Linked DNA regions of Canis lupus familiaris. The main gene of each other region encodes a partner of the protein of the gene in region 2 in a complex. Links are inferred from orthologs where the notes say so. Each region holds a gene or a part of one and is shown on either strand. Other genes may lie near its edges.

What was found.
Region 1: the proteins of RNH1 (region 2) and ribonuclease pancreatic precursor are in contact, whole or in part, in a crystal structure (PDB 3TSR), measured with the Mus musculus proteins. The link is inferred for Canis lupus familiaris from reciprocal best matches to the Homo sapiens genes RNH1 and RNASE1. Residues at the interface, in NP_001165571.1 of Mus musculus: Cys7, Asp32, Thr60, Asn89, Asp117, Glu145, Tyr146, Asn174, Glu202, Trp257, Trp259, Glu283, Ser285, Trp314, Lys316, Glu340, Glu397, Ser401, Asn402, Gln426, Val428, Tyr430, Asp431, Ile432, Tyr433, Trp434, Thr435, Asn436, Glu437, Arg443; in NP_035401.2 of Mus musculus: Arg26, Glu27, Lys32, Gln36, Pro48, Thr49, Gln53, Lys56, Arg57, Met60, Asn62, Gly63, Ser64, Cys65, Lys66, Pro67, Val68, Asn92, Lys94, Asn96, Leu111, Lys112, Gly113, Asn114, Ser115, Lys116, Asp121, Ala134, Glu136, Val143.

Annotation. Positions count from the first base shown.
Region 1 is NC_049236.1:18,162,810-18,166,428, forward strand, and holds ribonuclease pancreatic precursor, read right to left. Parts: upstream 2,051-3,619; 5' UTR 1,965-2,050; intron 1,316-1,964; 5' UTR 1,288-1,315; coding exon 832-1,287; 3' UTR 615-831; downstream 1-614. UniProt on the Homo sapiens protein: Endonuclease that catalyzes the cleavage of RNA on the 3' side of pyrimidine nucleotides. Acts on single-stranded and double-stranded RNA.
Region 2 is NC_049239.1:25,962,961-25,967,464, forward strand, and holds the start of RNH1 (ribonuclease inhibitor), read right to left. Parts: upstream 2,994-4,504; 5' UTR 2,886-2,993; intron 1-2,885. UniProt on the Homo sapiens protein: Ribonuclease inhibitor which inhibits RNASE1, RNASE2 and angiogenin (ANG). May play a role in redox homeostasis. Required to inhibit the cytotoxic tRNA ribonuclease activity of ANG in the cytoplasm in absence of stress.

The DNA.
Region 1 (3,619 bases), on a different chromosome or scaffold from region 2:
CCTGGGTCTCTGCCTCTCTCTCTGTGTCTCTCAGGAATAAACAAATAAATAAAATCTTTATTTAAAAAAAAAAAAAGAATTTTTCCTACAGCATTCTAGGCGGACCCTTTCGAATGGAGTTGATACAAAAGCCAAAATCTACTTTTTCTCCTTCAACGGAATTATCTCTACAGTCCCCTTTGGCTCCTAAATTGAAGGTTTTGACTTTCCAGCTAAGACATGGCCATTCTTCTGATTAGTAATAGCTCACCCCAAAAAAGGAAAATGACAATTTAGGATCTTGGTTTCCCACATCCCTCCCCGCACCCAGGGGCGGCGCAGGGTCTTCCTGAGGCTACCCTCCTTCCGGGCAGAGGTTCTTGTCTCTGCATTCGGCTGCCGGGCCGCTCACCCAGCACCCACTCCCAGGCTATAGCCCCCTTTTATCCCCAGTAGCCTTCGCTTAGCAGCCTGGCGGTTTACAAGGGATGATCTCGGGTGACCAAAGCCAAGCGTCAGAAGAGAAGGCTTCGGATGAGCTGATGATGCCTCCCAAAGCTACAGCCAGGTTTGCAGCTCCTGCAGGAGCGATCACACAGGCAGTACCGGGAGGGCGACAGCGTGGGAAACCCAGGTGAGCACAGCTGTGCTTTATTGAAAGAAGCGGTGAGGTGGCTAACATGGGGCCCCCGCCCCCCGACCAAGCGGAGCAGCCCTGGGCAGGGCAGCCCGGGTTTGGGAGCAAGCCGGAGGAGCCCCGGCTGCAGGGATTCCCCAGAGCAGGAAGGCAGGGGAGGGGTAGCAGGTGCCACCTGCGACAGGGCGCCCGCTTCTCTGGCCTCAGGCCGAGAGCTACAGACACGCATCAAAGTGCACTGGCACGTGGGGGTTCCCCTCACAGGCCACGACGATGTACTGCTCCTTCTGCGTGGTCGTGTACACGCACTTGGGGAACTTGGAGCCGTTCTTCAGGCGGCAGTCGGTGATGTTCATCTGGGAGCGGCTCTGGTGACAGTTGGACTGCCCGTTCTTGCAGAGCACATCCTTCTGGGAGCAGACGGCCTGGACGTCTGCCAGAGGCTCGTGCACGAAGGTGTTCACGGGCTTGCACCACCCATCCGTCATGTTGCGGCGCTTCATCATCAGGTTGCAGTAGCTGGCGCTGATGGCGGCGGGGTGCGAGTCCATGTGCTGCCGTTGGAACTTCATGGCCTTCGACTCCCTGGCCAGAGAAGGCTGCACGCAGGCCAGCCCCAGCAGCGCCAGGACCACTAGTGGCAACAGCACCAAGAACTTCTCCTGAGCCATGGCGGGCTCGCCTTCTGGAAGAGCCTAGCTGGGAAGGGGAGAGAAGGACAAGCGCCGCCTCAGGGGGAGAACCCCAGCTCCCGCCTGTGGCTGCCCCACTCTCAGCCTCCCCCTGGGGCAGCTGGAGAGACACCTCCTCCTGTGCAATTCTCCCGGCAAGGACACAGCCACGCGCACCACTCTCCAGGGCGTTGAACTCCCGCTAGCTAAGGAGAGGCGGTCCTCCCCTCTGGGGGTGACCTCCAGAGTGAACTAAAATCCCACAATCCTGTGTCTGAATACTAGAGATTTTTAAATTTAAAATATGTTTGAAAGATAAATACACTTATACCCAGTGCTCAAGCAGCTCATTAGAAAATCCTTTTGAATAAACCATGAGCTACATTGCATCCCTGAAATGCAATCACGTGTCCAGGATCATGACTGACAGAGGCCTGTTGTCCTTCGCCACAAGGGAAACAGCCCCGTGCCTGACACGGGCATCACAAAGGGATGCCACTGTAGCCCCAAGACAGATGCTTGGCTCCCCCAGTGCCCTTGGTTCCCTGCCGCCTGCGTGCTCAACCCTATATTTGCCTACCCCAGGCTCTCTCAGGCTCTATCCTCCCCAACCCTGGTCCCTCCAATCCAATGCAGAAGCAGAAAGAGCCCCTGAGACCACGTCTTTGGCCACTGACCTGGGTCTCTAGCGTGGTCTCTAGGAGAGAGCAGAAGGCCAGTCTCTGCAATCCCTTGATCCCTGGAGAGGGAATCTTATACAGATTACAAAGGGGCTTGGCTTCCAAGAAAAGATGGGTGGGAGGAGCGTCCTGGTTTCAGTGTAGAGGGAAACAAGGACATTGTGAGGAGGGGACGTTGTAGGGAACCATCCACACCACTCTTTTCAGGACTGCTGGGAAGGGTGAGGCTTGGCCACAGGAACTTTATATGAACCTCATCTGTTTGCTGGTTCCAAGGAGCAGTGGAGAAAGCCACTAGGGTACTGATGCCTGAACCCCAGCAAGGCCCTTGTAATCTCAGGGGGCGATTTTCACCAAATAGTGCTTGGTGGTTAGCAAAGGACTCATAAACATGTGACCACCAGAGCAGCGGGGGAGAAAGGAGGTCCTCTTTCTCCCCAGGAGCCCTGGCATGGCTAGCATTCCAACAGCACCTCTTCCGGGGAGAAGGGAGTGAGGCGTTTAGCTACCCCCACCTGGAAGCCTGTGCAGACCTGGGGCTGTGCCCTGGCGGGGAGGAGAAGACCTGTGGCTCGCCCGGTGCTGGCCACTTGAGCACTCCTGGGGTGGCAGGTGAACGTGCGGCAGTTCTCGGCCACAGCAACCACTCCTGTAAGGTCAGAGTTGAGGAGAGAGATGAAAGCCAAACCAAACCCCCAACGGATGTCTAGCTGGCTCAGTCGGTAGAGCGTGGGACTCTCAATCTCAGGGTCTCAAGTCTGAGCCCCATGGTGGGTGTGGAAACTACTTAAGAAAAAAAAATCCCTTTTGTTTTTTTTTTTTAAGATTTTATTTATTTATTTATGAGAAACACAGAAAGAGAGAGAGAGAGAGAGAGAGGCAGAGACACAGGCAGAGGGAGAAGCAGGCTCCATGCACCGGGAGCCCGACGTGGGACTCGATCCCAGGACTCCAGTATCATGCTCTGAGCCAAAGGCAGATGCTCAGCTGCTGAGCCACCGAGGTGTCCCCCCAAAAAAATCCCTTTTGGAGGAAAAATAGAGAACGTCATATTTCTTAGCAGCAGAATTCCCTCTGTAGACCGAGAAAATGAGGCAAAATTGAAAAAGAACAAAAGTCCTTATTGGGGGATCTCAGAATTGCATTTTCTGGAGCACAGATTCCAGAGTACTCAGAGAAGCGCCCTGCCTCACAGGAAGAGCAGGGGTCCCAGGAGGAAGAGGGCGAGGGGGGGCCAACACCTGACCTGAATAAGAGAGGAGAAGGAGAAAACACCGTGATTGGCACTAGCAGATTGAGCCGTGCTTATTTACACTGTGATCGACTAACCGGTTGGTGTTATCAAACCTCACTCTTCGTGATATGCGTTGATTAATTACTCGGTCACCCGAAAGCCCACACTGACAGTTTTATGATCCAGGATGCCAGGTGTCCCGTTGACTTTATAAGAAACTGCTTGTAAAACAATCACCGGGCCTGGCCCAATTCAAAAGTTCATTAAAAGGGAAAATGGAGCTTCAAGATGGAGTCGGTCATGGCCAGAAATTTTATGCAATTTCACACCTCCTAGAAAGACTTGTTTTTGCTGGGTGACAATTGCAATTACTCTGGAGTCAGGATGATCAAAATACCCGCCGTGCTCTGGATTTAGA
Region 2 (4,504 bases):
CCCAGGCCCCCCACGAGCTCCCTCAGAGCAGGCCAAGTTGCCAGGGGCCCCCCCGAGGCCCCCTCCACCCTCACGCAGGAAAGGGACGGTGCCCGGTTTGTGCAGAAGCCACTGAAGCCTGAGGCTGCTGGAGAACGGAGCGAAGCAGTGGGCGCGGGTGGAAGGTGCCTCGGGTGGAGGGGGCCTCCGCTGCAGCGCAGCTCCAGCCAGCTTTCACGTGGCTTTGTTTTCTTCAGGCAAATACCCAGAAGGGGCACCTGGGTGGCTCAGTCAGTGAAGCACCTGCCTCTGGCTCAGGTCATGATGTTAGGGTCCTGGGATGGAGGCCAGCAGCAGCTCCCTGCTCCCTGGAGAGCCCGCTCCTCCCCCTCCCTCTGCTGCTCACCCTGCTCTCACTCTCTGTCAAATAAAATCCTCAAAAAAACAAAAACAAAAACAAAAAAAATAGGATTACTAGACTGTATGGTGCACTACCTTCCACAGTGGCTGCACCAATTTTCACCCCCACCAACACCGCATAAGCATTCCCTTTGCTCCACATCCTCACCAATACTTGTCATGTTGAGTTTTGCCATTCTGACAGGTGAGAGGTGGGAACACACTGTGGTTTTGATTTGCATTTCCCTGACGGTGAGTGAGAAGCATCTCTCCATGTGTCTGCTGGCCATCTAGGTGTCTTGTTTGGAGGAACGTCTGTACAGATCCTCACTCATTTTTTTTAAATATTTATATTAGAGAGAGCAAGCGAGCACAGGGGTTGGGTGTTGGGCAGAGAGAATGTCAAGGAGAGTTCACAAAGAATGCAGGCCTGAGCTGGGGCTCAATCCTGTGACCTAGATCATGACCTGAGCCAAAACCGAGAGTTTGGCACTTGACTGAACCACCCAGGCACCCCCTTGACCCATTTTTAATTAGATTATTTGTTTGGGGTTTTTTGTTTTGTTTTGTTTTTTAGTGTTAAGCTCTTCATATATTTCAGACGTTAACCCCTCATCAGGTATGTCATTTGCAAATACCTCTCCCATTCCATAGGTTGCCCTCTCAACCTTTGTTGATGATGGTTTCCTTTGCTATAAAACATGATTTTTATCACATAAGCACTATGTACCCTTTATAGGAAAACCAGAAGACAGAAATAAGAAAATAAAAGGCCCTAGCTTGCCCGCCTTCCAGAAACACAAAGGCTCTGACATCTATGTATGAGCTCCTGCTCCTCTGTATGCACAATACACATTTAAGAAAAATAATAATAGGGGATCCCTGGGTGGCTCAGCGGTTTAGCACCTGCCTTTGGCCCAGGGCGTGGTCCTGGAGTCCCAGGATCGAGTCCCACATCGGGCTCCTGGCATGGAGCCTGCTTCTCCCTCCTCCTGTGTCTCTGCCTCTATCTCTCTATCATAAATAAATAAATAAATCTAAAATAATAATAATAATAATAATAAGCTACTAGTAATGGTAGGCAGAATAATGATCAAAGATGATTACATCCAAATCCCTACTTTACATGGCAAAAGGGTCTTTCCAGAGGTAGCTAAGTTAAGGGTTTTGAGATGGAGGGATCATTTGGATTACTTGGGTATGCCCAAAGCAGCCACGAGGGTCCTTATAGAATGGAGGCAAAAAGGTGAAAATCCGAGAGCTGTGAGCATGGAGGCAGATGTCCTTGTGGCGTGGCTAAGCTGGAAAAGGCCAAGAAGCAGATGATGACCTGGAAAACCTGGAGGGAATCAGGCCTTTGGATGCTTTGACTTGTCCCTCTAGCACCCACGTCCCACTTCTGATCTAGAGAACTGTAAGAGAAGAAATCCTGTGACGGCAGCAGGAGGACACTGATGCAGCAGGAGCCGCTGTATTTTCCACCAAAGAAGAGAAATGTATACAATGTATACACAAATATACAGGCACACTAATCCACATGTAACAGTCTAACCTTTTTTTTTTTTTTTTTTTTTTTTTTGACATTCTGTGTGTCTGAGAAAGAGAGCAGGAGCAGGGATCCCCGGGCAGGACTCCGGGATGGGGATGGGATGGTGCCCTGAGCCGTAGGCCTCCACCCCCGCGCCCCGGGCGCCCCAGCAGGCCTAACTTTAACGACCACACCGTGCATCCACGTCGCTCAACCATTTCTGCAGGCTGGCACCTGGATTTTCAGGCCGGAGGCTTCTCAGCAGGCCCCCGGGACACCGTCCTAGAGGGGCCGCCCGGGCTCCTCGGTGCCGTCCCACTTGCGCTCCCGTCCTCCGCACCGACTCGCCCCCAGCTCTCGGCAGGGCTCCCGCGGGACCGGACGGGGCCGGGATGCTGGGGGGGGGGAGGGGCGGCCACGCCCAAGGCCCAGCATCCCGCGCGGCGACCCGGGAGGGTCCTCCCTGGGGGTGGGGGGTCCTTGGGGAGTAGGCGGCGAGTTACCCAACTTGGGGGAAATGTGGGCTGAGCCAGCCCTCGCGCCGCCTGCCGGGCGACCACACACAGGGGTCAGGCCGCACCTCGAGAAGGCAGAGGGGAACCCCCGAGGCGCAGACCACGCATGCGCGCGCCCCGGACCCGGAACTCCCAGCGTGCCCCGGGAGGCAGGCCGGCGGCAGGTGCGCACGCGCAGGGGCGCTCTTGGACGCCCTGACGTCACCGCGGCGCCCCGACAGCCGCGAGGCCCCGCCCACCCCGTCCCCCAGCCCGGCGCGCGCCCCCAGCCCCCGCCGCACCCCGATCCCTCTCCCGGCACTCGTTTCTCCGGCACCCCGCCCCCCGGTGTCGCTCCAAGAGCGCTTCAAGTCTGTCCTGGGCAGCATGGCCACAGCAGTGCCTGGCGCGCGTCCACAGACGACCCGGCCAAGGTCGGCGCCGTTTAGAGCGGACCCCGGGCACGGACCGCGGCAGTGACTGACCTCCAGAAGACGGACCGCGAGGAGCGGCGGGCTACCGGCGGGGGCGGGGCCTGACAGGGCGCGGCCTCGCTGCTGCGTCGGGGCAGGGGGCGGGGCCTGGGCGATGGGCGGGGCTTTGCGTGGGCGGGCGCGGGCTCGCGGGGCGGGGCCTGAGCGGCGGGGGCGGGGCTTTGCGTGGGGCGGGGCCTGAGCGGCGGGGGCGGGGCCTGGGACCCGGGCTGTGCATGAGGAGGGTGCCGGCTGGCGGGGCGGGGCCTGGGGTCGCGGGGGCGGAGTCAAGGGGCGGGGCCTCGCAGGGGGCGGGGCCTCCGTGGCCGGAGTTGGGGTCTCGCTGCTCCCACTTGGCGGCCGGGCGGAGCGGTGGTCCCAGCGCCGCCCTCCCCGCGTCCCGCCCGGGCAGGTGTCCTCGGACGCCCGGCCCAGGCAGTGACATGAAGGTCACCGGGCTGGGGGCTGGGCTGGGAGACGTGGAGCAAGGTGCAGGCCGGACGCTGCACGGCGGTCCGCTGCGGAGCCCCGACTCGGTGGTGCCGGGCTGGACAGACGCAAGGGTGGTTTTGTGAGATTCGTTGGAGCAACGTTTGTCATCTTTGGGCGCTGTTCCATTTATCTAACGGCAGAAACTCTGAATAATCCTGTGTCTTCAAATGCATTCGTGCAATAAACACTTGTCTGAGCCCTTTGTGCGCGGCTGTGCTTCGGTGCTCGAGGTTCAGCACTGGGCCGGGCCGGGGCGGGGGGTGGGGGGGGTGCGCGCCCCCAGGGGAGTCAGCGGCCTGTGAGGAGACGGCGCCAGAGCGCCCCCAGCCCGGGAGCGCCCGTGTCCGCTGCGGCAGGAGGGAGCACCGGGTGCTCAAGGAAAACTGGCTTTTCCTGAGAACTGACTTCTCGAAGCGCTAGAATGTGGCCAATTTTAATAGAAATTGTTTATACTATTCACTTTCCTGTACCCTAGACCTAGTATACTGACCGTGATCAACTTCTAGACTTGATGTCAGCGCCCTTTGGCCTCCTGTGGCCAGCAGCACTGCAGGTGCCTCAAGGAGGAAGGGCGGCAGGTGGGTGCTGCGGAGGGCGGCCGGAGTCACAGGGGCCCGGCAGGCATTACAGGGGCCCGGCAGCAATTTTTTTTTTTAATTTATCTATTCATTTATCAGAGAGAGAGAGAGAGAGGCAGGGACACAGGCAGAGGGAGAAGCAGGCTCCATGCAGGGAGCCCGGCGGGGGACTCGATCCTGGGACTCCAGGATCGCGCCCTGGGCCAAAGGCAGGCACCAAACCACTGAGCCACCCAGGGATTCCCCCAGCAGCAATTGTTTTGCTGAAATGTGGTGCTGCTCGCGTGGTGCTGCTGCCACGTGTTCCCTGGCTCGCTGTCCCCGTTTCCTGCGTCGTTTCGGGTATAGGGGCCATATTGGTCAGAGGTTGCTGGGCCCGTGCCCAGAGTGAATAAACAAGCACAGCACCGGTTGGAAATGTTCTTAGACGAATAAACAGCACGGACCCTGGTACATAAACGTTCGGACCAACGTCGTGGGTGCAGGCGGGAGGGCAGGCCGTGGGCTACCCCAGTGGTCAGAGCTGACATTCTGGGGGATGACGTCTGCAAACGGGACTGC